Linked DNA regions of Schizosaccharomyces pombe. Changing the gene in region 4 together with the main gene of any one other region gives a genetic interaction. Each region holds a gene or a part of one and is shown on either strand. Other genes may lie near its edges.

Region 1 (8,020 bases), 1.8 Mb from region 4:
GCATGCAAATGAGTATTGAACAAAGAGATGATCCTTCCAGAGGGATGTTGTAAACTAGCTGTAGCGACACCCTTTCCAACATACCAATCACCTCTCCAAAAAGCTTGAGGACGACCATTAAGTGGATACTTGTTCATAGAAGATTCAATGATAGGAAACTTCGAAAACATGGCAAGTCCAGCACCCATAGCAGCACTATGGAAAAACCTAGAATAGACAAGATTGCAGCTCACCAAGTTACGAATTTCCTGAAAATCGTAAATCGACCATACTTCTTGAAGAAGAACAATGTCATAATCGCACTTCGCAAGTTTTTCGCCAACAGCTTTCAAACGTTCAGTACGGTACTTGGAAACAAAGCGCAATCCCCAACAATTAAACGAGAGAACACGCAGTTCAGGGGCCTTTTCAACACTCATTGTTGCGAGGTTGGAATTAAAAAGAGATAAAGAAGGACGGAGTTATTGCCGTCAAATGGAACAGTAAAACGAATAGTTTATAATTTGTATGTAAAGAAATAATCTAACAAAGTTTATTAGCTTAAGAAGAAAGAGAATTTAAGAAAAAAATGGATAAAGAGACGAAATTGCTGAATTAGTATAAAAACAAACAAAAAGCACCATCGTGGTCTTAAACCAAGCCAATGTCATTAACAGCATGAATTATAAAGACTCTGTCTCTTTTCTTCCACGAAAGCAGAAGACCAGCAATTTTCGACAAAAAGCTCATAACAGTATTAAAGAAGTGTTTTGAGACATTAAAATACCAATTGCAACAATTACAGCCTCAATGCATTTCATTCATAACTTACCTGTAACTAAGCGACAATATGTGCTTATTAGAACACGTATTATTAAGAAATCAGGAAATTTCTGAATATATACAAGAGGAAAGGTGGCGTGTTAAGAAAGGAAACAAGAGCCTTGTGCTTAACTTAAGCCGTTATTGTACACAGAACTGCGTGATTTTTTACTAATGTCAGATGACTCCATTTCCGATGTGTTAAAGTTATTTATGTAACGCGTTATATTTCGGTAAATCTGTAAACATTGGAGTAGAAGTTATAAATACAACACTATGTGAACTTGAGTAAACATCCATATTCCAGTGTTAAAAATTGGTTTATTTTTTATTTAGTATCTTTTAAAAATCAATATTAAAGATAGTCTTTCTTCCCTTCTGAATTGTGGCGTTTTTAAAAATCGTTTTGTAAGTGTGTTTAAGTCATTCGAAAAAAATGGTATGAATAAACAAGTTGTTCCAAATTGCATAATGAAATGATTAGGTTATCTACTAAAATAATTTATTCAAATTTACTTTACCTATTGCAAGAATCACGAAGCGTTATTTATCGTTTCTCTTGACTTGCTACACTAGACGAGTAAGATAAAGGGAAAAAAGTAATCTTAAATTTTAGTAATTGCTGTTATCTATATCATATAAATTAATCGACAATTATGGGCGCCAGGTCTTTTTATTTCCTGGATGTTAACATTTGATATCTGCTCATCTTTATTTGATCAAACTTCGAATTGTTCAAATTTGAAAAACCTACTATTGCCAAAAGTTTAAACAATTTAATTCAGTGTCACGGTTAACAACTAATAATCTCACCTTCTCATTTCTACCTACAGAAAAGAATTATTTTCTTTCATTCATACTTATAAATTCATCTTTTCACTAACATGTTTAGGGTATGTGCATAGACCGTGTATATCTAAGGAGAACGCAACCACAGTAAACTAAGTCCTGCTAGTCACAGGTTTAAGTATTATAAAGTATTGGAAAGCGCCAGCATTTTAATTACTAATTTTGTTGTATTATTTTCCTTATTTATTAGATACTATGAGGAAAGAGTATCTCGTTAGCCATATAGAAGAAAATGCACATCAAGCAGACATTTACTCTCTCAATGTAGTCGCAGGCAATCTTTGGTCGGCTTCTGGGGATTCCAAAATAAAAAAATGGTCTATAGGTGATGCTGAGCATAGCTTAGTTGAAGAAATAGATACCCCTCATAAACTTGGCGTTCATCATCTAGCAACTAGCTTGGATGAAAACGTCGTCGTTTCTTGCGGATTTGGACAGGATGTTTATGTTTGGAATCCTGAAACTAATGAATTTCGAGACTTGGGTACGAATTACTTTACGAAGAAGCTATGCATTTCTCTAACGAATATGATTTAGGTAATAATGCTCAACATCCCAGCGAATGCTGGTCTTCTTGCATTAGCCCTGATGGACAAACGATTGCTTTCACATCTGTAGACGGGCGTATTGCTGTCTGGGACAATCCAAGTGATTGCAAAATTTCCGAGTTAGATACCAAAGGTAAATTCGGTCTTTGTATAGACTATTCTCCCAATGGAAGATTTATCGTTTCTGGTCATCAAACTGGGCAGCTTTTCCTTATAAGTACAGAAACAGGACGCTTGTTTCATGTACTATCGGGCCACACTTCCCCTGTACGATCAGTGGCGTTCTCTCCTGGTTCAACACTTTTAGCTGCTGCCGGGGATTCTAAAATGATTACTATCTACGACGTTTTATCAGGGGATCAAGTCGGCCAACTTCGTGGTCATGCTGCATGGATTTTTGCAGTAGCTTTCAATCCCGTAGGTGATTTGTTGCTTTCGGCTGATGTTGAAGGAAAAATCAAAATCTGGGATATTGACACCATGGAATGTATTAGTACACAAAGTGAAACGGATGGAGCTATTTGGGCTGTGGCATGGTATAAAAATGGGTTCATCGTCGCAGGTGCTGATAAAAGTATTCGTTGGTATAGAGCTGCTGCTACAGAATAATTGCACTCTTGTGCTTTCTTAATGACCGATGGAAAAGTTTTTAAAAAATAGCAAAAAATTAAGGAGTTTCTAATATTTGGATTAATTATGAATATCAACACTTTACTCGTAAAACGAAAGGATCTTGAAATGGATTATTTTAGGGTAACGCATTTTTCTTTTCACTTTCATCATTACAAGTATGTTTGTATCATTGTTTACTTTCGTTCGATACGCTTTTACTTTTTATATAAATTATCTAAGCATAAATTCCTAAGGAAATACGAATCTCATTCAAAGTTTCCATTGTATTTAAAACATGAGTTGACTCATAATATCTATAAAAGTTTATTTTTTATTTTATAGGTAATGGTTAGCTTAGTTTCTTATGTGTTTTAACTGTATTACATTACGTGCCTAGAAAGTTTACTCTCACATACGATAACGACGCAAACCGTTTAAAACCATGCACATACTGCATATGTTATAATCTTTACTTTGAAGACTTTTTGTAATTCAAGATTACTTTTTGTTGATAAATTTTCACACTAATGGCAGAAAATAATAAAAAGTCTACTGCTTACATCCAGAGGATGCGAACACTAAAATTTTATCAAAAAATGGCTTCTGCGCGAATCCCGATCACTGTGTACCTCCACGATCAACGAGAAGTAAAAGCAGAATTTGGAGCGATAGACAGTAGTGAGTCAAAGTTGGCAGTTTCCAATCTACAAACCGATTGGGGCGTTATTAACAGAGCGGTGATACGAACAGGAGACGTCGTGGGCATCGAATACAATTTGGTGCAGGAAGAAGGAGAACTTTGATGATACATTACGATTTTCAGATACAGAAGCCTTAACAGCCATGGTATTCAATTCAGTGTTTACAGATGAGAAAGCGTGATGTACATAGTATGCATAGTTGTATAGAAGCGCAACATAATTAATGTTATTTATTTAGGAGGAATATTAAAAATAATATCGTAATATTGTATATTTTGCTGGATTAAAGCAAATAACTTTTGCGTCAAACGGATGGTAAATCGTGAAGTTCATTAAACTTCCAAAGGATCAGAAGAATTAGTGTGCCACTGAAATTAAAAGCGGGAAGAAATGATCGCTTACACTGCAAATTTGTTCCAGTATTTTTTTAAAGGACACTCTCGATATCGTTTTCGAGATGTTCAGGCTTGCTAATACTGGAATAGCGTTCGATGACTTGACCTTGACGATTGACCAAGAACTTTTCAAAATTCCACTTAATACGCTCAAGGCCAAGTTGCTTCTTTTGGCTCTTCAAGAATTGATAAACAGGGTCGACGTTGTCGCCATTAACATTGATCTTGGCCAGTACAGGGAAGGTTACGCCATAGTTCTTTTGGCAAAATTGAGCGATTTCTTCGTCAGAACCGGGTTCTTGGTTTCCAAATTGATTGCAAGGGAATCCAAGGATGATAAATCCTCTATCCTTGTATTTCTGATACAACGCCTCAAGACCTTTGTATTGAGGAGTGAATCCACATTTGCTCGCTGTATTGACAACAAGGACCACTTTACCCTTCAAGTTGCTGAAAGGAAAAGGATTTCCATCCTTGTCCTTAGGAGCCAAGTCGTAGAAATGAGACATTTTAACTTACAAAACTCAATACTAATAGAATGAGTAGGTTGAAAGTAAGGTGTAGCGCGGCTGACCGTCCTACTTATGTTTCCAGCTGACCTTATTTCATAATGACATCAGACCTTAGTTTGGGTCAACACGATCTTTTAACAAGAGAAATTTACGTAAAATTAATAAAAATTCCAAGGAAGAAAAGTCGGATCGCATTTATCAAAAGAAATCTTATTTATTTAATCAGTCTCACATTCTTTTTCCTTTGTTTGCTGCTTTTAAAGTTAAAAAAAGGATATGTCGCAGTATACTGCCATTGTCTTTTGTCAACATACCACCAAAATGACAGAAATTTTTGCTGCTATTTAGTAAAAATATTTCAAATTTCGTATTTGTAAAGGTTATGCATAGAATGGCTGAGACTCATACTTAAACAGTATAGGTATCTAAACATTGTATGGGGCGATTGTAGCAGCAAACGATTAAGTAGTTTGCGTTAGTTACAACACCTAGTAATGGTTTGCTACCTTTTGTTTAAAATAATAGTAGACGAGATTGCCAATGGCCGATGTTGTTTATCTTAAAGTTGAAAGTGAAGCGAAACCTTTTTCTAACTTTAAGAGTGGGATTTCTTCCATCCAAAAGAATATGCACTGCAACAAGATATAGGACACAGGCAAATTATTTGACAAAAACAAGGAACCGTATAACTACTTTTTTACTTTAATCTACAAATAAATTAGTAGGATGTAGAAAAAGGTATCAGTGATAGATTATTTATGTATTATCTTAAAAGTATTGTTTTTTGCCCTTTGAAGGGCAAAAAGCAAAAAGGATCAAAATTATGCTCCAGCAGTGACTTGAACACTGGGCCTCTTGCTTACTAGGCAAGCGCTCTACCACTGAGCTACAAGAGCTAGTTGGAATCATTTGCTAAAAGGTATATATATATGCATAACTATTAAGAAATGCTCAGTATTTTTTTGAAATAGAAAATGTTGATATTCGGTTTCTATTATTAAGTTTTAAATTCCAAACATTGTAAATATGTCGTCGTTCTTTACATTCTTTTTTTAATAAATCTTGGTTTAAGTTAAAACCCAATTTTACAAGCTCGCAACTTTGTTGTTAATAAAAAAAAATGTTACACCTGCTAAATAAATATTAAAATCAAACTGTTGTTGTGTGGTATTACCTTATTGAGCTTAATTATAATTTCAGTAAAAATTTATGTTCAATTTTTTTTTTTACTTTCAATTAATTTATTTATTTATTAATTTGTAAAATATTTAGACCTTTGCCAAATAATTATTTGTTAATTTTTCATTTTCTACAATCTGTATTAATTAAGATAAAATTGTCTTCAAAAATACTTTTAGTTTTTGGAAAATCATTTGTTTCAGTGTTTGAGTATCCACATGAATTGTCTAATTTTATATCACTATTATTTTTTTATTCGAACACTCATAAATTGTGTCTATTGTGTTACTTTCAATTTTAATATTTACATTCAAAGTTGCATATATTTTTTACGAAATAATGTACTAAATGATTTAGAAATATTTAGATACGATAGTAATCAATACTAAATTTTATGACACATTCTAAATTCACTTACTTTGGCTTTCTAATTTCCTGTTAGAAAAATTGTCATTCCTAATTGAATTTTGCAGCAATGCTCGAATCAGCTCCAAGGTTGATAAATTTATAGTCAAGAAATATGTAATTATTTATAATAATCTAGTCTAGTTGACCTGGAAAATGTTTGCTTTTCTTACTACCAACCTTCTCTTATCGACCTACAGTTCACCCAAGCACAGCGAAATACCTCAAGATACCCTTCTTTTGAAAACCACCTATTTCAGCAAAAAATCTTTCGCGGTTGTACTTTTAAGTAAGAAGCAAACATCAAAGATTGTTTGCTCCTTCATTGTTTAATCATGGGCAGAGAAATCATTACGTTACAAGCTGGTCAATGTGGTAATCAAAGTATGTTCACCTATACTACTATTAATCAAATCGAAATTCTAATTACTCACAAACTTGTCTAGTTGGTTCACAATTCTGGCAACAGTTGTGTTTGGAACATGGCATTGGGCCTGATGGCACGCTAGAAAGTTTCGCAACTGAGGGTGTTGATCGAAAAGACGTTTTTTTCTACCAGGTTGGTTTATTGATACACTTTAAAGTTTCAACATGTTAACTCATTTTAGTCTGATGATACTAGATACATTCCTAGAGCCATTTTGATTGATCTGGAACCAAGAGTATGTTATCGCATCCTTTTATTAGTATTTGCTGAAATATTCAAGTGACTAATGTCCTCTTTACCTTAGGTGGTCAACAATATTCTAAGCGACACCTACGGCAGCCTTTATAATCCCGAAAATATACTTATTACCAAAAATGGAGGAGGTGCTGGCAATAATTGGGCTAATGGTTATTCGCATGCTGAGAGGATTTTTGAAGATATAATGGACATGATAGATCGTGAAGCTGATGGAAGTGATTCTCTAGAGGGTTTCTCGCTTTTACATTCTATCGCTGGTGGAACGGGTTCTGGGCTGGGCTCTTTCTTGCTTGAGAGATTAAACGATCGTTATCCCAAGAAGATTATCCAAACTTATTCAGTATTCCCTAATAGTCAATCCGTATCAGATGTTGTGGTTCAGCCTTACAACAGTCTTCTTGCATTGAAGCGACTGACATTGAATGCTGATTCTGTTGTTGTGTTGGACAATGCAGCACTTGCTCATATTGCTGCTGATCGGTTACATACTCAGAACCCTACGTTTCATCAACAAAACCAATTGGTAATTGATTTATATTAGGTCTTTTCATCAACTAACTATTCTAGGTTTCAACTGTTATGTCTGCCAGTACAACAACTTTAAGATATCCTGGCTACATGAACAACGATCTTGTCAGTATAATAGCTTCATTAATTCCAAGTCCTCGCTGTCACTTTTTACTAACCTCATACACTCCTTTTACCAATCAGCAAGTGGAAGAAGCAAAGGCCATTCGGAAAACTACCGTGCTTGATGTGATGAGAAGGTTGTTGTTGCCTAAAAACCAGATGGTTTCCGTCAATCCTAGCAAAAAGAGTTGCTTTATTAGTATTTTGGATATCATTCAAGGAGAAGCAGATCCGGCGGACGTTCACAAATCCTTGCTTCGCATAAGAGAACGACGATACGCTTCATTCATTCCTTGGGGACCAGCAAGTATACAAGTTGCACTTTCTAAAAAGTCGCCCTATATAAAAACGAACCACCGTGTTAGTGGACTTATGCTTGCAAATCACACTAGTATTGCCTCTGTATGTTTCTGCAAATTTTTTTTTGAGACATTTAATACTAATCTTTGTAGTTATTCAAGAGAACACTAGATCAATATGATCGTTTGCGGAAACGAAATGCCTTTTTAGAGCAATATAAAAAGGAGGCTATTTTCGAAGATGATCTTAACGAATTCGATTCTTCTCGGTAAGTATCTTGTCTTATAATTTCATATTTTGAGTTAATTTACTAATGTATTTGACAGCGACGTCGTTGCCGACTTGATCAATGAATACGAAGCTTGTGAAGATCCCAATTATTTATCTCTTTAAAAAATCCTTC
Region 2 (7,041 bases), on a different chromosome or scaffold from region 4:
TTCAAGGAGCAGTTTTAATACTTTATGTTTATAGGATTTTTGATGGAGAGGTCCGGGTTGAAAAAATGCAGTACAGAAAACCAGAATAATCTCATGAAATATACGATTGAACCACGGAATATGCGGTCTTTTCATCGTAAAGAAGTGTTAAATGATAATTAGATGTTTTTCTGTTTATTATAGCATAATCCGTATCTTAATTTACCGAGTATGTAGACTACCGAAAAGTATGTGCTTTCCTTACTTGCTTTTTTAAAATGAAAGAAATGTTTGAAGGTTAAATTTATGCGCTGACTTTATCCACTTTTCTTTGTCGGCCTTTCGCGTCAAATATTGTTGAACATGCTATCGTTTGTCCTGATCGATATGTATAAATAAAATCGTAGTCAAGGTTGATTTGTAAAGCAGGTTTGTAAATCTTTTTTAATAAATATATCATATGAAAAATAGATGCGTTAGTACTTGAAAAGTACGATTATATTCCAGTGTCAGTTAGAGATTTAAAACAATATAATCTCATCAACCTCAGCATCAAATGCAGCGAGTGTTTTGATTATGCTTTCTGTCATAGTTTTTCTGTGATAATACGCAGAATCTCTTGTGATAGAGTCCTTTGTTTGGGTATTCTTGATGTTTGAAACTAACCGTTCATCTGGAACATGTTTAACAGTTTCATTTAAAAATAAATTGGAGCCCGTCCTCATGCAAGACTTCGGGGTCGACGTTGCTACAGGTTTAAGTTTGTAAAATAACTCGAGATCAAATTTTAAAATGTTTAAGCCTTCGTAACCATTTACGGGGAAATCGTCAGCAGTTTTTGTCTCAGGTGTCTTAATTATTGAAAAATCAGATGGAAGAATGTTTGAAAAGGCTTGATTTTGATGAATTGGTAATGTTTGATTAGTTTTGTCTTGTAAAGCTGGACGTGTCGAATTCTTTTTTTTTGAATTTGATATTTTAGGATTCTTGTTTTTTTTTATTAATTTATACTCTAATTCGTTTTCATTATTTATAGCCATAAATGCAATCTATTGTTTTTTTTCGCTTAATGTTTTATATGATTAATGCGGTTTTGTTTACATTTTTACCAATGGGAAAACCTAATGTTCGAGGTCTACTAGCTGAATTTACGAATAACAAATCTTAATGTTTTTTCGTTGAGTTTACTTAGCCTAAGTGAAACCACAAGGCTGCTGTTAAAACTTTTAAAGGAAAACCAAGGTAGTGTGACTTTAAGATAATAAAGGATTCAATCAAGCATCGCTAATCCTTTTTGATTCCACAGTAAACAAAATATGTTATGGTGATTATAAGTATTAACTTAGATTATATAATTAATGGCTAATTAATATAAAGTTTTGATTTAATGTCTTTAAGTGTGCAATCCATCGTAAACATCATTGTCTATTTATAATAAGGATTTCTCATCATCTGCATTGAAAATCAAAACAACTTAGGAAACGCAACATTAAGTAATTAGAAATTTGGTTATGCAATGTGTACTAAACGGCTTGTAACTTAAAAGGAGCTTAACGTCGAACATTGTGAGTCTCCAAAAAACATAGTTTTTTTAGCAAAGCAGTAAATATTTGACGTTAAAATACTTGACAGATAATATTAACATCAAATGAATCTTATCATTTCTAAAAGCTTTGCAGTAGTTGCTTTGCATTCCCTGAATTTCGTTTTACATTCACTGCGCTTTCTTAAAATATGGTATGCTGGAAATTTGATTCCAACCACTAACAAACAAAAATCATAGATATTGCTAAAAATTAAACGATTGGCAAGATGGATATTCGGCCAGCTCGTATAAGTGACCTTACTGGGATGCAGAACTGCAACTTACATAACTTGCCTGAAAATTATCAGTTAAAATATTGTAAGTTCAATTCATTGTAATTCTTGCTGCACGGCAATGAACTTCCAGTATTAAAACAATGATTCTTATTTTCTAATTTAATGTAGACCTTTATCATGCTATTTCTTGGCCTATGCTTTCTTATGTTGCTACTGATCCGAAAGGACGTGTCGTAGGATATGTTCTTGCAAAAATGGAAGAAGAGCCTAAGGATGGGATCCCTCATGGTCATATCACAAGTGTCTCAGTAATGCGCTCCTATCGTCATCTAGGACTTGCTAAACGTCTCATGGTTCAAAGTCGTAAGTGTTAATTGAGAGCGAAGTAGATTACGGATATATCCAAGGAGGAGCTAGAGGGAAATCTTAAGCTTTTTTGCAGTTGTTATCGATGATTATTCCAATATGTATATATTTTATTTTGTGCAAGACTTGGTCTGCTAATACTTTGAATTGTTCATTTGGTGAGTTGGTTTTTTCCTTGCAACAATTCATTTTTTTTACCTAATTTGTTTTCGACAATGTTTCCTTCCTGCTGATTCCTTGATATTTTCGGTCCATTCCTTAAACAAAATTTTTTTAAAAAAAGTAAAAGATACTAACTACTTAAATGAACAGAAAGAGCCATGGTCGAAGTTTATGGCGCCAAATATATGAGTCTTCATGTTCGTAAAAGCAACAGAGCTGCTATTCATCTTTATCGTGATACTTTGCAATTTGAGTATGTTTTTACTCGCCATCATTGAAGAGATTCTAACATTATTTTAGCGTTCAAGGGATTGAAAGCAAATATTATGCTGATGGTGAAGATGCTTATGCTATGCAGTAAGTACTTTGTTGTAAAAACTAGGTTGGGGATGGTTGCATGGATCGTTTAATGAGTATTCTTTCCAAAAACTATATACAATCTTTGTGACAATCGTTCTTTCTTTAGTTTGGTCAACTTCTGTATAATTACCTACGTTGTTTCAGACAATATATGACTGTTCAACGTCATCACAACTATCTAGGTTACTAACAATTTTTAGCAAAGATTTTTCTACTTTGAAATTCGATACACCAGAAACCAACGACGAACTAGCAAAAACCGTTCAATCTCTTGCATTGAACAACTAATAAAATATATACCGTTATTTCTAATTAGTGAATTAGGGTGTAGTGTACGATACTGCAGTTATAACTTCGTGATAGCGTATTTAACATTTGATTGTACTCGCTTACTGGTGTACTAAATATATTTCGAAATAACTCTTGTAATTTCGAGTTTTTGTTTATCACATCTAACTGCCTAATCGTGTCGTTTGGTGTTAGGTAGCCCAACACCTCGATAGTCATACTGTATTACTTGTCACCAATATCCACTGCATTTTTAGACGAATACCTATTTAAGCTGAAATGACTTCTATAGCAAAAGCTTTTGTTGAAAAGGCGATCTCAAACAATCCGGTTACTGTCTTTAGTAAATCGTTCTGTCCTTTCTGCAAAGCAGCCAAAAATACTCTTACAAAGTACTCTGCTCCGTATAAGGCTTATGAGTTAGATAAAATAGGTAAGTATGGTATTCTTCATTTGTTTAAGAGCTGAAGATTCAGTTGATCGATTGTAAAGTTTCTTGAGTTATGTCTACATAAATTAAGTATATGAAATAATAGTCTAATTGGGTTTTCGAAACCTCATAATTGTGTAATGAAACTACGAAAATTTTTGTTTCCTTCCATGATCTTGAGAAATAGCGAAACATTTCAAGTTTTTTGTTCTGCTTTTCATCCTTTTTAACTAACTTGATGTTACACTAGAAAATGGATCTGACATCCAAGGTGTGTTTAGTTAACAAACTGATTTTATCATATGCTTACCTGAGCAGCTTATTTACATGAAAAGACCAAACAGTCTACAGTACCCAGCATATTCTTTCGCAACCAATTCATTGGAGGTATGAACCCAAATTTGTTTTCCTTGACCATTAATATTCTCGTTGGTTTTTCTCTGTTGTTTATTACTAATACATTATATAAAGGCAATTCCGATTTGAACAAACTTCGTAGCTCAGGCACTTTGACGAAGATGATAGCAGAGCTTAAGGAAAACAAATCTTCAATTTTATGATTATCTTTAGGATTTATATAGCGAACGACTTTACAATATTATTTTTTAGGGAAACGAGATAACGAACTGAATGTGCAGTTGCAAAACAATTCTATTATAACATTAAAGGTATCTTTATCTTCAATCAGTTTCTAGTTTCCTGCTCACTTTGAACAGCAAGTTTTCTTCAGTTGCAAAACACACAGTGTGTGCTTTTTTTTGGAAAAAGTTATTTAGCCAGATTACTTTTCTACTTACTATATACCAAGTTTAATAGTGAAATCATTTGACTTCAATCTCATCACCTCTAGTAGTCGCCATGCATTGATTGCCACTTGGTAATATAAATGACACAACAGAAGCGACCTCACGAAGACACACACACAGTACGTACAAAGTGATGTACTTTTCCTTTGTTCACTGAACCCAAGTAATACAATTGGTTTTTCGTATATATTTATTTATATTATTTTTCACTGATCATGAATAACCCGACTTCCGACGATCGTTTACGCTTCCAACAAAAATGCCATAAATCCATGCTAAACACTGGGGCGATATTTAAAAACTGTAAATTACGAAACGGAGATGTTTTGCAAGAAGTCACTGAAAGCTTAACTGAAGACAGTGAATTCAACTACATTGTAAATGAGTCTCAGAATGTTTCTACTCGTTTAATATTTTGGAATAAATGGATTTATATTTTGTGTGCTAATACTTCATCAAATATCACAGCTACAAGGATTTTCCGTTTAGATGATGATCAGCCTTGGAATTTGGAATCTTTAGTTGCAGAGGTTTGTCCAGTTGATACAGATAATCGGCTTGCTGAACATGCTGCACGTACCGCTAAAGATACCTCGGCTAATGAGTTAAATTATGAATCATATCAGGAGAAGAGCAGAGCTCCATTTGGGTTTGCTGGACCATTTGGTGCAATGCCTGGCTCACAACCAATGTTTCCTTCTATAGGAGCAAGTGATTTGTATCCAGCAGGAATCGGAGGATCTGATATGGGCAACGATGGAGGTATGATTCCTACATTCAATCATCCTATTTTTCATCCTGAAAACAGGTCTCGAAATGAACAAGCTTCAGCAAACCGAACTAATATACCACCAGGAGCTCGTTACGATCCCACAGGCCCTGGTGATTTTCGTGGATTCGGCAGGGATGAGAGGAAACCTCAATTTCCTTTTAAAGGCCCGCGATCTCAATTTCCCGGTGAACCTGACAATGATGACTTCATGCCACCTGGTTCATCCGATATGTTTATGTAAATTGGTCACTTTATAAGTATTACAAGAAATGTTAGATGATAGGATATGTTATTTAAATAATAGTAAAAGATTTTGGTTTTGATTTTTTTTTCTTAATATGTGAATTTTAATGCTCAATTTCGGAATAAACGCATACTACTGGATATCTCTACTTCTTTAAATAATTGAGTTTTCTACTATTTGCGTACAAAGTTTAGTAAGTTCCTCTTCTAAAGAGCGCATTTATACAAGTGTTAAGAATGAAACCAGCAGGACCTAATGAAAACGTCTAGTATTTATTTTCAATAGGACGGTCTTAGCACCGAATTGATAATTTCAAAACATACACTCGGGCACATGCCTACTCATAAATTTTTTAAGCTGTTAGATGTTTATTATTTAACCTCATCTAAACTTATTTACTACTACCTGCCACTAGAATCCAAGAACTAAACAAATTTCTAACCAAAAGTATAAAAGATGTAACAAAAGGTACCGTATGCTGTTAGGAACATTATTACTCCATTTCGACAGTTGCCGGAGGCTTACTGCTAATGTCATACAATACACGATTAACACCAGACACTTCGTTGCAAATACGGGAGCTGACCAACTTCAAAAACTTAATGCTAAACCCATCGTACCAATCAGCTGTCATAAAATCAGAAGTGGTAATAGCACGAAGAGCAATTACTTGTTCATGAGTACGCTTGTCACCCATAACACCGACAGCCTTTACCGGTAAAAGAGCAGCGAAAGCTTGAGAAATTTTATCATAATAGCCGTGGTTACGAATTTCAGTAATAAAAATGTGGTCGGCTTTACGCGCAATTTCAAGCTGAGCAGCATTAACTTCGCCAAGGATACGAATGCCCAAACCAGGGCCTGGGAAAGGATGACGCCAGACAAGGCTATGTTCAATACCAAGTAATTCACCCAAAGCACGAACTTCGTCTTTGAAGAGCTCACGAAGGGGTTCAATAAGTTTGAGCTTCATGTCCTTCAAAAGACCGCCAACATTATGGTGGGTTTTGATTGTCTGAGAAGGGCCCTTGAAAGAAATACTTTCTATGACATCAGGATATAATGTTCCCTGCAATAAGTATTCAACTTTACCGTTGGTTTCTTTAACAATTCGCTCAGCCTCTCGTTCAAAAACATGAATAAACGTGTTACCAATGATCTTTCGCTTCTTCTCGGGATCAGTAACACCTTTCAGTTTTCCAATGAACTCTTCAGAAGCATCAACTACTGTTAATTGAATTCCTAAATGCTTATTGAGGGTTTCACGAACAATCTCTGCTTCATTAAGACGCAGCAAGCCATTGTCAACCATAATGGCATGGAACCGATCTCCAATAGCCTCTTTCAGAACCTTTGAAGCAACTGTTGAATCTACACCACCAGAAACAGCACCAATGACATGATCACTTGGTCCAATCATTTTACGAATACGAAGAATTTCTTTATCAACGAAATTTTCCATACTCCAGTTGGGCTTAGCATGGCAGATTTCAATGGCAAAGTTCTTAATAAGTTGCAAACCTAATGGAGTGTGAGTAACTTCAGGATGGAATTGCAAACCAATGATGGGCTTTGTAACATGTGCAATGACAGCGAAAGGAGAATTCTTGGTGCGTCCAATTGTTTCATAGCCATTGGGAAGAGCGCTTAGTCTGTCGCCATGAGACATCCAAACCTCAAATTCTTTTGGCATGGAGTTAAAAAAGCTTTTGAAGACCTCGGTTTTGATTTCAGGTTCCATACTAACTGTAGCTGGACCGTACTCTCTCTCGATACCTGGTTCAACACAACGTCCATTCAACCATGCAATTTC
Region 3 (9,190 bases), on a different chromosome or scaffold from region 4:
GAGAAACAACAGGAACCTTTTCCGGCTTTGAAATAGGAGTTTCACTTGGAGACCCTGAAACATTAGGTGGAGCAACGGTAGGTAAAGGAGAAATATTGGAAACAATCGTAGATACAGGAGCAGTAGAAAAAGCGGTAGATAGGTGGACGGCCTCGGGAACGATGGGAACATTAGTAGTAGGAGAAGTAGCAGATACAAGAGCCGAGGATGGCGGCTCCGTTATTTCAACAGGAGAGGCAGGTTTCTTAGGGTAGACATCAGATACAGTGATAGTAGATGAAGGGTCGTTAATTAATTTGGCAGATGCGCCTGTATTTGGAGTCGATTTATCTTCTGAATCCTCTTCAACCTGTGTCGAGTCATCGTTAGAGATTACATAGCCTTTTGTATCTTTCTCGCTCTTAAACTCATCTTCAGAACCAGACTCTTCGGATGAATATTCATATTTATGGAATTTATAAGATGGTTCATCTTGTTCAGCATTGTTTTGTTGTATAAGTCTTTCCAGCTCTTCTAAGGAATCGTTTTCAAAATTTGCTAAACCTCCTTTTGTATCTGAAGTGCTTATACTCGTACCAGATTCAATTTTTTCAGAACTAGATATCACCGGGGCTTCTTCCTTTCTTTCAGTTATTGATTCAATTGCAGTAACAGCAGGTTCTTTTTCTGCAATTTCATTTGAAGCTGCTTCAGGGACGCTACTGCTAGGTTGTATTTCCTGTTGAGTAGATGAAACTTGGGGTAATGAAAGTTTACCTTGTAAGCTTTCAATTTCAGAGGTATCTTCTGAGGATTCTGCTTTTTGAATTTGTCTTTCGAGGAGTTCCCTCTGACTTGTGGCATCCGTCTCAACCTCATCAGCGATATCTTCCAATTTTGGCGAAGCAGCATATTCTTCAGTTTCACGAATGGAATTCGGCGAATTCAACGTAGAACCATCATCTGCATTAAATTGTTTTTTGTTAACAGATAGTGTTGAAGAACGACCTCTGGGCAATAAAATCGGAGTACTAGATGGAAGGACTGTAGCAGATAATGGGCTATTAGGGGAAGAGATAGTCCTTGATCGTTGGGGAAGTGGCGGAGCGACTTCTCCGTCATTGATGGTTGAGCTACTTAATATTCTATGATCAGACACGCTTCTAGTTACATCAGTTGCACCCGGAAAAACATTACTTCGATTTGCTTGACTTATTCTTAAAGAGTTAGAACGAGAGTATACATCCTTTTGTACGAAAGAACTGGGGCTTTTTCGAAGAGAAGGGCTTTTTAAAGAAGTGGGTGTTCCAGGATCTAATGATTTAGTCAAAGAAGGTGTTCTAGTAAGTTTTGGTGAAAACTTTCTATCAAAACTTGTATTTATTGTAGGTCTTCTTGAAAGCTTATTTGAATCATGACTATCTTGTCTAACGATAGATGGCCTTTTAGATACTTTGGGAGACGGTGAGTCCATTATATTGTCTGGCTTTGAGGAATCACGAAGAAAGCCTCTGACAGATTCAACAGTGATATTCCTCAAATTCTGAGAAGATCCCTCATTGTTTTGCTGGTCTTTTACCATGTGTGACAGTCGTTTGCTAGCTCGGCGTTCGAGAGCATTTGTCTGCTTCAATGCATCAAAGGCTCCAGGAGCACTTAATGAGGCACTCGTAGTTTCTTCATATTGCTTTCTCGAATCAGGATTTCTAAATGATGATATGCTTCCTTGGGAAGAACCACGACTATTACGGCGATTAACATCGTTATCATTCGCTTCACGGGTCATTTGAGGCAAATTTGACCTAGATTGATTTAATCTGGATTTAACCAGAGATTGCTTATACTTCAAGCTTTGTAGGAGGTGCATAACCAGCTCCCTTACGTTAGGAAGATTGGTCTCCAAAGCATCAGAAGATGGTGTTTTTTCCAGTGTTTGCTCTAGGACTGATCTGAGTTCTAGCGGAAAATCATTTAAATCTGCAGTTTCAATACCAGCTTCATGAAAGGACTTGGTTGTCTGAAGGAATTCCCCTATTAGAGTAACATAAACGGATGAAACAGCACTATCATTAACTGTACCTTTGCTCCAGTTTGTTAAGCTTTCAAGAAGCTCCTTTGTTACAACTAAAAGCTTCATTATCGATGTCTCGATTGTACTAATTAAATGAGACGCTGCATCTCTTGACAAAGGGCTGTTGGACGCGCCATTAGGTACAGGCTTCCGATTTGAGTCGGAAGGGACTAATCTTCGAGAAAAATTTGCTCGAGATTCAGTCTTTTGTCTTTGCATTGAATGATTGGAAGAAAAACGTTCACGAGACATATTATCGCCGTTATTAAACATTGGTCCCAATAGATGAGTAAAGCAATGATCCTAATCGCAAAAAAAGGATTGAAAGTTCAACTTAAACTTAAAACAATAAACATAAGAGAAAACACAAAACCAATTAGGTTTGTTATATACAAAACATAAGAATATTGACTTATTAGACTCAGTTGCGTAGGTTAGTACTTCCACCGAGGGCGATCGAGGTACACTAGAAATGGACTACTTGATGAATGTGCTAAGGTACATAGTAAATTGAATTTGTGAGGATTGCTAAGTAATTTTATAATATATTTACACACCTGTTTATTGTATTTAACTAACCAAACCATATATTTGTACATAACGTTAATGACAAGAACAAAATGTGAATAAACAAAGAAAGAAGTAATATGAAATACCAAAGGTTAACTCCCAAAATATTGACTTTTTATTTCAAATTGACGCATACCTCCACTTAAAAAATCTGAACCAACTAAACGATGTCGAAAGGTATTTAATTACATAATATTACAAATTAAGGGTTTCGGAGTTTTCAAGGGTTACTTCTGAAGTAGTGGGTGCTTCAGAAGTAATGTTTGCGGTTTCTGTTTTGGTAGCTGAATCATTCTCAGAGTTCTTAGGAGCACGTCTCGTTTTTTTAGCTTTTACATGATCTGAAGGTAAATCGAAATTCCGTCTTAATTTCGTCCTTAATCCAGGCAAAGCGTAATTAACCTTTTTCCGTTCCCTTCGGCTCCTTCCATCAGGTTTTTCATTTGGCTCATTGACTACTGTACTTTCTTCAGAAGTTTCTTGAATCCGAGCTTTTCTTCGCCTTTTCACTTTTGTTTCTCTTCGCGACTGAGTTTTCGTCACACGATCGTTCTCATTAGGGGATTTCAAATTCGTTACAGATGACAGAAGTTCCAAATTATTATAGGAGCCCGTATCGTTGGTAGCAAAGGAGCTACGTGACGGCTCAATTTCGTAAGGTCGATCTTCAGCATTCAATATTCCTTGTAGCGATGGCGGACGTAACGGAGAATTATTGGGATGGGCTATTGAAAATCCATTTGAAGATGGAGGTTCACTTGACAGTCTCATGGGAGGATTTCGAAAAAGTGTTAAAATTTCCCGCTCTTCGTCGGTAAAAGATTTAGGATTCAGTCCAATTTTGTTAGAGTCATTCATTATTTCTACAGAAAATTTTTCGTTCCCATTAGTGACAGAAGAGTCTACTAACCCGTTTATTTCCCTTGGAGTGTCTGTACGAGGAGATTCAGCAACAGTCATATTTGACAGAGAAGTCGTCGTAACCTGAGGCCCAACATTCTCTTGTGAAGTTAATGAATTATGCGCAGTATCTTCAGGCGCAAACTTCAACGATATGGAGCTATTTAAATTAGGATCTGAAATATGATGCCCATTTCGGTTACTTTTATTTGAAGATTGCACAAGAAGGACAGCAGAATCCAAAGAGTTTGCGCGATTGGGGCGACTATCGGTCTCCGATACATAACCGGTAACATTGGTAGCTGCAGAAGCCAGATTAATTTGTTTATTTTGAATGTCAACGTCCCATTTCCGTTTAGTGGGTGTACTTTGTATTACTGTATCAGATTGTATTCTGCTATGAAAATGAGCTTCTTGTGAACCCTCATTTTCTTCTTGAGCAACTCCATTTGCATTATCTTCTTCGGTTCTTCTTTGTGCAGCTGCTTGATTATTAATTTTGTTGGATAATGATTTTGGACTAACGATTTCGTATTCATGATTTTTTTCCTGAGGAGCAGAATCGATAGATTTATTTTCAGAAGTAACCGCTTCAACTCTATCTTCATTATTATTATTTACAGGTTTCGAATTGGATAGATTGTAAGGATTTTCAAAATCAGCTGGGAGGGCTTTGCCGGATTTTAGCTGAGGTGCTGATTGCGTGTCGGAAAAAACATTAGCTTCTCTTTTTTTTTGTTCATTTATAGCAGTTTCTCCGTCATCAATTATATTTTCATCCTCTATTCCACTTAAATTTCGTAAGGAAACATCATGCTGAGCTTGCTCAATTATTTCTTCGGTATCTTTCACGACGGATTCCTTTCAGACGTTAGATAAACATATCTGAAAAACATAATACGATTCAACTTACCTCGTCAAGGTCTTCAGAATCCGTATCGACATCGTAAGCTAAGTTAGCCTCCACTGGTTTGAAGGTGTCTGTGTTCAATTAGCTAAAAACGATATGAATTCAAACACGTACCTTGTATTTCTTGCTGACAAAGACTTAATTTTGATAAAAAATTATCTGTTTCTTCATGAAATCGATTAAGTAATGCAGCTAACTTTGTTTTGTTTTCTTCGTTTTCGTTTTGCACGGTTTCGAGTTGCTCTTCCAAGTTTATCGCTGTAGTCCTCAAATCGATATTTTCCGAAAGCAACCGTTCATTTTCTAACTGCAATTCTTTAATTCTAATTGATTGTGCCTTGCTTATTCTTTGTATGTGTTAATTAATTATTCAATTCCAACAAAAATGTATGCGTACCGTATAATTTCCTTATACTGTCGAATTTGCTTTTTTTTCACTAATTCATCAGTTGAGATTAATATAAGTATCACGTACAGTCTTCTACGTTCGGGGAAAGAGATGCTTTCGACATTATAAATAGAAAATCCCGATGTACTTCATTGACCACGTTCCCGGTGGAGGTTTAGTACTTAAACGCGGCTGTACAGCAGTATCATTATCAACAAGGTGTAGAGGTGCTGGATAGTCGAAGTACGAATTATTTGACTACTAATGATACACTCTTTGAAAAGAACATTAAAATCCTTTTACATTTACTATACTTTGAATTTACGAATAGATAGATAACTAAAGAAAGAACTACCATTCACTAATCCTTTCAGTGGTATTAATAAATGTTCAAAGAGAAAAATAATTAGCTATTAAAAATATTAATTATTAAAAATCAAGCTTGATTGAAATATGTCAAAACGAGTAGTACATGGAGTACTTAGTCGACATGTGATTTAGTCGTGAATTAATCTTGACCACGAAAAATTATTAATTAAATTCAATCAAATTATAACCCCCAACTTTCCTCTACGTTATTTTCTGTTTCCTCTTCGTCATTCCAGTTTTCCATCCAAGATTCGTCTATCTGTTCCTCTGTTTCAAAAAGAGGATTATTGAATTCATCCTTAGAGTTTTCAGTGTTTCCAACAACTCTACTTTTTGAATTTTTTTTTTCTTTTATTTCAGTGGTATCATTTTTTAACTCAAGCGACTCCTTTTTCATATCGATAGAAGGCGAAGGAGAAGCAGAAGATGAATGAATAAATTTGGACCAAAAAGAACCATTAAATTTTGCCGGTGCGGAAACATTTTCTTTTTCCCCTAAATTAAAGTTTTTTATACGGCTCAAAAATTGGTCAGTGACATCCTCAGCTGTTCTTCGTATTCCTCTAATAACGTCAAAAAGTTAGTAATTCCTAAGTGGTATACAGGTTCAAAAAAATCTTACTCGTTTTCATCAATTAGTAATGGCACCACCGATGGGAAAAGTTTGATGGCCACATCCTTTGTATCAAAGTAATTTTGAACTGAGAGGAGTACTTTTAAGGCTGCCTCTCTAGCAGGAACAAATGGGTCTTTAAGAGAACGTGATAAAGCAGCAGCTAAAACGGGTTTTCGCACCTAAATCTGTTAAAAATAAAGTCCTAACGTTTAGTTCTTCTTAGTCTTACGCTGGCATCTAAATATTCAGCAATTTTACCTAGACAAATGGTACTGTTGGTACGTAAAGTAGGATGTTGGTCATTTTGGACAACCGCTAAGCTTCGTAGTAGTTCATTATTCAATGTTTTCTTCGAAAGCTGTATACTAATTAGCAATTTGTAAGATAAGATGGCTTACTTTTGGTGCTATAATGGAAAAAACAACAATAGCATGTTCTTTTAAGGTGGGAGAATTGGAGCGCACAAGGTTCGCGAAAACTGAAAAGCTAGTGTCTTCATATATATTCTTTGGTAGCACGTCGGGATTGTTAATGATTCCGGAAAGTAGCAAGCCTCGTATGGGAACGCTTTGTTGTTTCAAAAGAGACAATAACGGTACTCCAAAGTCTTTTTCTATATCCGGTCTTCCTTTTACAATTTGAGCACATTTGAATAGAAGCTCAACGACGTCCGAATGGGTGTCAATCGATAATAGTAGAAAGAGGATGTTTAATACAACCTTTTGTATATAGTTTTTAGGAATTACTTCTAGCTTTGACGAAAGAAGTTGTTTTAATTTCACTCTATCTTCCTCTTCGTTTATTCGAACCTCGGACAAAAGTTCATATAACGTAATCAAATGTGTACGAAAAAACCCCCCAGGACGCTCGCCAAGTTTTAGAAATTCTGAAGCTAATAACTTTTGCTTTCCTTCCACATTCAACAGTTTTTTTGCAGAAACAAATATATTGGCTGGAATGTTTCCACGCTGAGATAAGTCCCCTGGCGTTCCATTATAAAGATGAGAAATGAACTTTCCCAATTCATAAGAATCCAAGTAAATGAATGAAGCACTATTTAATGTTGAAGACTGAATTTCAAACGGAACCAACCGACTCCAGTTCAGAATTTTGTCATGATTATCCTTTATAAATTGTGGTGAATCACCTGCTAAGAAAAAGTCGCCTATTATCCATTCATCTGCACTATTAAGATAAACAGAAGACATTTGAAGGTTTCCATGAACAATATTTTTATCATTGAGAAATGACAATGCAGCCTAAACACGTTTAAATTAGTTTTAATCCACATTTTGAACTCAAATTACATACCGAAACCCTCCAAAGGCCGTAAGTTTTTATTTCCGCAGATAGTTCATTCAGTTCAGTTGTGACAGGTCTTACAGTTTCCGTTGCAATGTACAAGTGAGTGGACTGAACTATTAGTAAATAGGAAAAATATGTAAAGGCTTAGATTAGACTTACGCTTTTATAAGTACTTAGATATTTGATTATACAAGGATGACGAAGGGTCTTCATTGTCTCACAAGCTCGGTCAGCAAGTTCAGCCCATTCAGGATGAGTTGACAGAGAAATAGAGAAAACGCTACACGGCTGGGCAGACTCCTACATTAAAATTGTAAGTACTAGAATAAAGAAAAGCGTTGTCTCTTACTCTAATTGATCCCGTTTGTAGTGTCCATACAGAATTAGAAGAAAGAGGGATTTTCTCATTTAAGTCATATGGGAATTGAGAACCTGCTTTTGCAATAAAAGAAGCTGCTGATTTTATAAAATCCATTATTTTAAAGTGTAGTAAGGGATCAACCTCTTTTAGTCGATTACCATCGAGTATTGATGCCGCAGTGTGGAGGTTGTTGTCCCACGCAAGCTAACCTGTAAAAGTGTTTTGAGGGGATGGGTACGGATTAAGAAGCAAAATTGGATTATTTACAGCTACTTAAGGTTTACAAAGACGACGTTAGTTTTGCAGTTTTTTTGAATGTTGGTTTGAGATATTTTTGTACTGGAGCACTCTTTGTAAATGCTTAAATGCCATAAATTGAAATGAAGTAAGTGAGAGATTCTAACTTCATATAATATTTCCCTATTTACTTATACAGTACTTTAATCCCACTGCTAAAAAGGTAGAGGAAAAATACCGCCTTAATAAACAAAAGCAAGATGGCTGTTCTACAACGTGTTGTTCGATTTGACGAAAATATATGCTGAATTTGCCAAGCAACTAGTTATCTTGTTTACCGTGTGGAAAAGAAGCGTATGTTGTATTAATTTAAAAGTGTGATCTCAGAATTATTTTATTGAGGGTAAAATTTGGATCCCAATATATTGTCATTTGGTCGGCTATATTTAAGGAAACTCACATAGTAATTAATTGCAGGTAATATGCTAGCCAAGAACTTCAAATTCCTAGGTAGATATTAAATAACAAATAATCATTTTTATCAATATATATATTTAAGAATCCGTTTAGATATATTTTATGTGTTGAATGAATAATCCATGGTCGTGTGGTTTAGATGGTTATAATTTCTGCTTAACATTTACAGTTCGCAGACGGTCCCAAGTTCGAGTCTTGGCACGATCAAATATTTTTGTAAGAAAACCAAAATTGTCTTAAACATGTGCTTTGTTTGTCTGTTGGTTAATCGAAAAAATTAAACAGCCGCCGCTAGTATGATTAACTATGAGGATTTTTGCTGAAGTATTTCATGAATGTGATCCCTATTATCCGGTTATTTTTAAAAGCTTAATGGCATGTACTTGGGTAAGCTTGATGAGACAGAATGACATTTCGCCTATTTATAAATGATAATCTGAGCTACAAACATTCTAGCAATATATCGGTTTTATTACGATATCATATTGAAAATGTAAATTTTTTAATCTTATTATACAAACGAAAATTTTTTGTGATATCCTTATAAGTATAGTATATTTTAAAAAAATTGTTAAAGCTTTTTTTTAATAACGTTGCATATCCCAATATTATAGTTATCCTTAAATAAATAATATAATATCTTAAAAATTGTATTATCAAGTACTGTTTAGGCAAAATTACATGGGTTGAAATACTAGGAGTTGTGCAGTTGAAGAATCTTCAATAAAAAAAATATTTTGGTCCCAACTTTTTAAAATAAAAGAACTTGATAGCCTCTAAGGCTGAATAATTTTATGGGTAATTAATCCTCACTCGTCGAAGAATAACATACTTAGTGACGGACAGCATTTCGGCGGCTTCATCTTTTAAATTAATTTAATTTTATGCTAATCTTACTAAGGCCTAAGTAACTAAAGCTTGGTGATCATCCCACTTACTCAATAGCATTCATTGAAAACCCAAAAGCAATCGGTTGCATTTATCAAGAAAGTATTTTCAACCTTTTT
Region 4 (7,533 bases):
AAAAAAGCCAGTTATGCAAAAATCAGGATATTCGCTAAAGATATCAAGATGCAGATCATTCTCGTTTGTATTTTTTTTTCAAGGATGAAAAATTAGAAAAATAAAAAAAAGTAGAGAAAGAAAATGCAAGAACACTTCTTTGGTCATTTTTATTCAACATCGATTTTCTCATTAAAAATTTCTAATCCTTTCATGCTTTGTTGAACCAGTGAGGCATTTTTCAGTCGCATAAAAATATCAACAACAGGGGCGAGACACGGTTAAGGCAAGGGTTAACAGCGGTTCAGGTCCTTTTGCACGGATTCATGTCCGTAGCGACATTAGGAGTAAACCTTAGGAATATAAAAGTCAACCAAAAAATAGTACGTTCTCTTTCTTTCTTTTTTTTTTTTTTTTTCTCTAAATAATCAAATCCATAATGTTCAATCCTCCCACACCAATGTAATCCCGAATGTACGCATATCCATGTTTCTCTTAATAAACATTCACCATGGAAAAGAAAACACGTTACATATGGCGTGCCATTTCTTTCTTCAATGTAAAATTATACAAAGTTATACTTTTACGCTACCCCCAGCCTTGGCTTGCCCTCCCCCACCCTTCTTTCCATGACTTGTTTCACATCTATAGCGAACCTTTTCCCTTGGTCTTGCTTTGGTTGTCACCGTATTTCTGCGCTGTAACTTTGTCACGTGTCACCGTTCATTATTCTTGCATGTTCAAGCAACCGGTTTTTATCAAAATCCTATACATATATATTGTTACAATGAGCGCCACACGGCCCACATCCTACCCGCCTGGATAGAAACAATGTTACCAAGGAAGAACTTTGGTGTTGTCTTTTTCATGGGCCTTTTAGCTTAGTTGTTCGTATGCCTTGAAATTCTGTTCCTCATACAGTGCTACAAAAGTCTCGCTAATTTAACGTTGAAATTTCTACACTTTCTTTCATCTACCACGTAGAAATTTACGACTGAATAACTTTTTTTTGCGAGAAAACCAAAAAAAAAACAAAAAGGCCCCTTTATATTTATGTATAGATTTTCTTTTATTTATTTTTTAAAATTCTGGTATTCATACTATTCATCGAATATTTTCAAGTTGGTGTTTAAAAGTCAGTAAGGAGGTTGTTTGCTTATACTGTCAACGTTTCTTTGGTACAAAAGTGAGTTTTCGGTTATTGTCTCAAAATCAAAATTTTTTAAAAAGCAATAAAATAATTCATCGTTAAAAAACTACTTTTATATTCTTTCTTTTCAGTTTTGAATTCTGATTTTGATTCCATTTTTGTTTTTCTTTTGCTGAAGACTAGTAAAGCTTCTAAGAAAAATATTTTAACGCATAACGTACTTCTGGTCTCGGGAGGCTTTTTCGCCATATTTTTCCGCTTTTGGTTTTCTTCCTATTAGTTGTTTTGTTTGAGTATTTGCTTCCGAGTGTCGGTCTTACGTCTTAGTGTGCTCGCAAATAACTTTCCCTTTTACTTTTTGTTAGCGAGTTTACCGTTTATTTATTCACCTATCAACTCGCCTAGTCTTGCATTTTTAACGATTTCCTTAGAAGTTTGTACTAAATGTCTGGCCCTCACCATTGTTCCGCTGACTGTGATGAACATCCGTTTGAGTCTGGTCCAAATGATACCTTGTATTCTTGCATCCGAAAGGAATCAATTGTTACGCTGAATGAAGCTGTACCAGATTCCGGAAAACTCGTCTTCAAACCTTGGGACCTTCGTTATGATGACACTGATATCGTAGAAAGTGATGCTGATGACCAACTCTTGTTTCAGGTACCGTTTGCAGGTGCGGCAACACTAAAATCAATTTTGGTTCGCATTTTTCCTAATGAAACCGCTCCACACTCCTTTTCACTTTTTCCCAATCGTACCGACTTGGATTTTGACACAATCGGTGATGTCCAAGCCACTGAAACATTTGAATTTCCCTTGACTTTTGAAGGAAGCCATATCTTCGAGTTTCCTGTTAAGACTCGTCTCTATCAAAACCTTCAAAATCTCAATATCTTCTTCACCAAAAGCGACGGTTCTGATGATCCTACACAAATCGCCTACATTGGTCTTCGTGGTTCTTTTGTTCCCTTCAAGGGTGATCCTGTTGTAACCATTTACGAAGCTACTCCTAGACCTTCAGATCATCCCAAAGTTAACCAAGAGGAGGTTTTCCGTTCTTACTATTAAGCTCCCGGGAAGTTTAGATTCCTTCCTTTTGGTTTTTTCCTCTCTTATTTGAGATTTTTGTTTTACCCAAAGCAAAATAAAAAATATATATGAAACGATACGAATACGCTTTGATTTGGATTTTTTTTAATGACGGTTATTTAAAGAATATCTAACGCCCTTTTTCTTTTCTTTTTCTTAAATGGCTAAGTCTCCATACTTTTTTAGCTTATGTTTAAATGTTGGTTTGTATTTATTGGCCGATTAATTATGTGTTTATGTAAAAGAAATGAGCCTTGATTAGGTTCTTTTTTTCTTCCTCTATTATTTTTTGTTTTTCTCTTGAATTTAAATGTTGCTTGCAGTAGATTAAATTATAAATTAGCTGTGCTATAAATGTGAAAATATTTAACAATGTGACCTCAATATAATTTATGCTTTGCCTCTGGGATGTCGTTTGCGTTTTCTATCAGATGGTAAGTCAAAGTCTCGTCGTAGTTTAGTTCGCAAACTGGGTATTGCATAGTTTATCACTTTGACTGATCGTCTTAGTTTTTCACGTCCATTAATCCTTGGTTGAGATTCTTCAAAATCACATGGGGAGCTGTCTCCGGTTGCTTGTCCTTTAAGGTCAGTTATCTGTTCAGCACTTTTACAAGGAATACAAACACAAACATTTGATGTTTTAGCCTTTTCTTCTTCAGTTTCGCCCTCGTTGATGGATTCAAATTCGTTTTCTTTTAATTCCTTTGAAAAGATGGTGATATTTTTTTGCGGCAATGAGTAATTCACCTCATCTTGTGGTATTTTGTTTACGTGGGCATTGGTTTTATCTTTTAATATACATTTTCCAGGTTTTTCAGATAGAGCCGGAGGACCATGGACTTTTTTTTGGAAATCTTGAAAACAATACAATGGTTGCCCTGTTTCGAGACTTTTAAGTTCATCATTAAATGATACATACTCCAAGCGTTTATTATGCAAAATCTGATAATCTTCTTTCGAATCTTTATTTTCACAGGTTGTAAATTGACTTTTTACATTCGCTTCGAGGAAATCTGATGAACACTTTTTCTCTATAATCTTCAGTAAACTTTGCACTTGTGAAATCTTTTTGTGAATGGTTTGTATCTCAGGAAAGAAGTTTTTTAACAAGTCCTCAGTTTGAGATTGATTGCGAAATCGAGCTTCAAGTTTAACCAAATAACTTTTCAAAGTGAAATTTTCTTGTATCAAATCTTGAATTTCGTTTTCAGATTCTCTAATTTTTATAGAAAGCTGAGTATTTATTCTGAAAGTTAGATGTTTATTATTTACCACAAGGGATTCAAAAATGGTGTACTTTGACCTTACTTTATAATTTCACGATTTTGTTTTAAAAATTTCTTTTTCAACGACTCCATCGGCAATTTATCTTCATTGTTTATATTTGAATTTATAAATTGAAAGTTCATAGCTTTTTTAAAGCTTTTTTTGCGAAAAGCAATTAAGGACTTGCTGATGTAAACAAACCTGTTAAGTGTAAGGTAAACAATCGCAAACTAAAGTCTTGTCATATTGAGAAAGGCTCTTTTCTTTAAGGAACTTGCCAAATCAATGTAAATTAGTATATAATAAATTAGATGAAAGATGGTTGTACGACTTAATGCAGCCCATATCCTGAATAAAAATTGATAAAAAGAACATAAAATTAATTACTGCTTCGCTATCCGACAATATCCATCCAACTCCTGAGAGATTAAATGTAATATTCGACGAATTCTTTCATCAAACTTTTGGAAATAATGATGCAATTGTGAGAAATTAGATTCGTCCGTGGTCTTTCCTATTGCTATAAAGTTAGAGGACAAGGGAGCTTTATACTTTTTGAAAACACCTCTAAAGAATTCATAAGCTTCCAGTATACTGGTGAGATAACCATGAAAAACAGTACAAAAACTGAGATCGTAAGTCTAAGTAAGTAGTCGGTTAGTATGCATCATTAAGAAAACGTGTTAAACATTGGCATATTATATCAACGAACGTTGAATTTAACTACATGCAAAGGTATAACATTATCAACCCTAAAAATTGCAGATACGTCTTTTGGATAAGATCCCTTACATAGTAGTCCGCTTAAAATTTATGTAAAACTTACTATAGGTAAAAGCTCCATGTTCTTGCTAGCATGGTCTTTTCCAAAAGGGTATCTTATGCTGTCTAATATTGCTCGAAAATGTGAAATGCTCCTGGTCGTAACGTAAAACCCTTTTTCAGTCAACAAATAATTCCGAAACTCAGCCGTAGTAATATAAATGGAACGAGCAACGTCTTTAGCATCGCCATCGGATTCCTGAATTAGACATTGTATGTTTCTAGCATGAGATAACAAAGCGACCGTTCTAACTGTTAGCCATAAAATGGTAAAGAGTTTCTTATAAAAATGTAATCGTATTAAAATGGGTAGGTTAATACCAGATACGAACCTTTTTTTAAAATTGTTTCTAACCATAAACGAGTCAAGTGCTTTTCGGTCAAGTGAGACTCCATGGAAGCGAATTTTATCATTTTTAGAAAATCTAATAAAGTTAGTAAGTAAACTCATAAATCATTCACTTTAAATTTTAAAACTTCAGGCGACAAACACAGAAATTCTTATAATTACACACACATTTCAAAAAACTTGGCTATATATGCTTCATTTTTATTAATTCTATCCTCAATGGAGCTATTAGATATCATATTTCGAAGCCGCTCTTGTCAATTTTAGACTCAAATCGTTTAACACACATGCACATGCATGTGCACGCACTAAGAAGTTAGAAAAGGGAGATCTATTTAACACCTGATAAAACTTGGGTTAAAACTTCAAGTCTACAGTCTTGATACGAAATTATATCTACGCCATAGAGAAAAAAAAATAAAAATTACATACTATGGTTTGACAGATTTTAGCGTTAGTTTTTGAAGAGGTCGTATACAGCATATTAGGTATACGCTGCAGTAATTATAACCCAATAAGTCAAAATTTTTTCTTTATTTGTTGCTGATTGTTTCCTTTACTAAAAAGGGATTTACCATTACTCAAAAGAAATTACCTAGTTTCCAATAAATCATATGGCATTTGTCCAGTTCAAATACTTTAAGACACGTATAGTTTATTTTTTGAATGTCCAGCTAAAAAATATATTACACGAATCAGTATAAAAAGAATTCCTTTCTTTTATTCTATTTATTTGTAATTGAAAACGAATTAGCTTCCGTTGTCATTTTACCAATTGTTAGTACCTAGAATACATATGGTTTGGTTATATATGTGTATGTATATATTATTTACTACAATAGTACAATGTCAGTTTTAAGACAATATTGAGTTATGTTAAAGGAAAGCAACATTAAAAGATTAAACGAGAACCAGCAAAGTAGGCTAGTGCCAGCAAATTTGCAATCGAAATAATTAAAGAATTTGATTTAAGCACCCGCTCAAAGACGCTATACAGCGTTTCTCAAATTAATATTAAAAAAAGATGAACCATTTATCCCGTACTCTGAAAACCAAATCATCAAATGATTGATATTGTGAAAGCATATCTACCGCATAGTAGAACAACACTTATTTAAGTTAAGAAAGTGAGTGACTCTAACAATAGTTGAAGCTTCGAAACTAAGAAAAGCAACGACAGCATATCATATCAAAAAATCCTCCTTTTGCTTCCGAATCAGAATTATCGTTAGGATGATTTACTCCGACTGCATTATTCGAGGGCTGAGATACATACATAGGTCGAACCCTATCGTAACCTCTAGAAGAATGAGCATAAATTGTTTTTTTAGAAGCAGACTGTTCTTGACGCACCAATGGAGCGTTTTTGCTCGGCAACGCATCGAACGATGAGTAATTTCTAGGACCTCTCACCCCATATGAGGATTTAAATCGCATGTTCTGTGTTTGCAAAGTACTGTTCTTTTTTCTGGAATCATCATTTTGAACAACATTTAAGCCAAGGTAATTCTTTCGTCGCTTCATAGCAACAACAGAAAAATGAGAAGAGCTTGACTCCCAACCTTTACCGTCATTCAATAACATCCAATCATAAACCCCATCATTCGTATCACCATTTGCTCGAAGTACATCATCAAATAACTCTTGTAAAAACGCATAATCCGGTTCTTCATCAAATTCTAACGAACGCACATAAGTCATGTATTTACTGAATTCATTAGGAAATCCAGCACAAAGCTCACTAATGGAGGTAGATTGCTTCTTTTCACTAATCTTTTCGTATTTGTGCTTATTGTTGGCAGCTTTCAATCCTTGCCAAGGTAAACTTCCCCTCAAAAAATACATAAAGACGTGTCCCAACGATTCTAAGTCATCGCGACGGGATTGTTCACGTCCAAGATGCGTGTTTATACTCATATATCTCGCAGTCCCCGAGAGGCTTTTACGTTCACTATATGGTATATGTTGCTTGGTTTTGGGATCACGGTAATATTTGGCCATACCAAAATCAACCATATATACCATGTTTGCATTTCGAGAGGAAGGTCGGCCTATTAGGAAATTATCGGGTTTGATGTCTCTATAAACAAGGTTTTTTTCATGAATCGTCTGAACTCTGGAAAGCTTTGAAATGTCAGAGAAAATTTAAACAAATTGAAAACCTTATAGGAACAACTTAGGAAACTTACCATCTGTTTCGCCGTCATAGCCACCGTTTTGACACTGAATCGACGACCGCACCATTCAAATAGGTCCTCTAAACTAGGTCCCAGTAAATCAATAACAAGGATATTATGTAGTCCTTCCTGCCCGAAATAGTAAACATTAGGAATGCCAGCTATTTGCAAATACGGTTAGTACCAAAGTCTTGACCATATGTTTTGGGTAGCAAAATAAAAACATACCATTTCCAACTAGTAATTTATAAGTTCTGTATTCATCACGGAGCTGAGGTGCCTCCGACTTTTTGGGTTCCTAACGTCCATTGTTAGTATTGTCCATATACTCATCCTAACAAAGAACATACAAATTTTATAGCAATAAGTTGGTTATTCAAAAGATTCATCCCATCGAAAATAACACCAAACGATCCCTCACCTATTTTACGACCCACGCGATAGTGAACCCCTACTACGCTCGTTTGGGAATTCATGATAAATAACCCTGTCACAAGGAATTGACCGAACAGATAAAATTTTTTTTATTGCAAGGACTATGCAGTTTTTATGTAGTCAATTTGTAGCCTCACTAACAAATGCCACACAAATCTCAGTTTGTTTTCACTGCATTCACCACAGAGATTGAAGTCCAATTGCGATTCAGTAGCCGACCAAAAACAACAAAATTTAGAAAACCAATTACTATAATTTAATAG

The links.
Region 1: of sgo1 (region 4) and rec14, changing one enhances a phenotype caused by changing the other (phenotypic enhancement), as found in Schizosaccharomyces pombe (one study listed by BioGRID).
Region 2: of sgo1 (region 4) and moa1, changing one enhances a phenotype caused by changing the other (phenotypic enhancement), as found in Schizosaccharomyces pombe (2 studies listed by BioGRID).
Region 3: of sgo1 (region 4) and sgo2, changing one enhances a phenotype caused by changing the other (phenotypic enhancement), as found in Schizosaccharomyces pombe (one study listed by BioGRID).

Annotation. Positions count from the first base shown.
Region 1 is NC_003423.3:2,785,133-2,793,152, forward strand, and holds rec14 (Ski complex WD repeat subunit Ski8), read left to right. Parts: upstream 1-1,762; 5' UTR 1,763-1,845; coding exon 1,846-2,134; exon of another isoform or gene 2,135-2,187; coding exon 2,188-2,807; 3' UTR 2,808-3,274; downstream 3,275-8,020. Other genes in the region: inositol phosphosphingolipid phospholipase C Css1, read right to left, coding at 1-419; protein Gem7, read left to right, coding at 3,338-3,613; H2O2 scavenger glutathione peroxidase Gpx1, read right to left, coding at 3,939-4,415; gamma-tubulin Gtb1, read left to right, coding at 6,338-6,386, 6,449-6,561, 6,611-6,664, 6,734-7,210, 7,255-7,719, 7,770-7,885, 7,944-8,010. UniProt on the Schizosaccharomyces pombe protein: Required for formation of the rec12-mediated double-strand breaks (DSBs) that initiate meiotic recombination.
Region 2 is NC_003424.3:3,728,016-3,735,056, forward strand, and holds moa1 (meikin), read right to left. Parts: upstream 1,020-7,041; coding exon 501-1,019; downstream 1-500. Other genes in the region: retromer complex subunit Vps29, read left to right, coding at 1-89; NatA N-acetyltransferase complex catalytic subunit Naa10, read left to right, coding at 1,792-1,882, 1,969-2,163, 2,479-2,581, 2,629-2,685, 2,889-2,976; glutaredoxin Grx2, read left to right, coding at 3,256-3,409, 3,657-3,677, 3,725-3,793, 3,878-3,966; fub1 (PI31 proteasome inhibitor domain-containing protein), read left to right, coding at 4,428-5,225; GMP synthase Gua2, read right to left, coding at 5,722-7,041. UniProt on the Schizosaccharomyces pombe protein: Plays an important role in chromosome segregation during meiosis I by allowing meiotic rec8 to establish cohesion at the centromeric central core and thereby promote the side-by-side structure of kinetochores at meiosis I.
Region 3 is NC_003424.3:3,709,939-3,719,128, reverse strand, and holds sgo2 (shugoshin Sgo2), read right to left. Parts: upstream 4,988-9,190; 5' UTR 4,943-4,987; coding exon 4,906-4,942; exon of another isoform or gene 4,868-4,905; coding exon 4,828-4,867; exon of another isoform or gene 4,778-4,827; coding exon 4,545-4,777; exon of another isoform or gene 4,502-4,544; coding exon 4,434-4,501; exon of another isoform or gene 4,382-4,433; coding exon 2,816-4,381; 3' UTR 2,544-2,815; downstream 1-2,543. Other genes in the region: bud6 (actin-interacting protein 3), read right to left, coding at 1-2,323; protein kinase domain and HEAT repeat protein Ppk3, read right to left, coding at 5,369-5,750, 5,810-5,982, 6,033-6,161, 6,202-7,062, 7,115-7,216, 7,268-7,408, 7,458-7,583. UniProt on the Schizosaccharomyces pombe protein: Involved in chromosome cohesion during mitosis and meiosis by preventing premature dissociation of cohesin complex from centromeres after prophase, when most of cohesin complex dissociates from chromosomes arms.
Region 4 is NC_003423.3:965,138-972,670, forward strand, and holds sgo1 (shugoshin Sgo1), read right to left. Parts: upstream 3,631-7,533; coding exon 3,530-3,630; exon of another isoform or gene 3,468-3,529; coding exon 2,609-3,467; 3' UTR 2,599-2,608; downstream 1-2,598. Other genes in the region: poteasome interacting protein Txc1, read left to right, coding at 1,574-2,197; SPOM_SPBP35G2.04C (uncharacterized protein), read right to left, coding at 3,871-4,128, 4,314-4,734, 4,827-4,897; serine/threonine protein kinase (CK1 family) Cki2, read right to left, coding at 5,820-6,782, 6,848-6,996, 7,064-7,133, 7,186-7,311.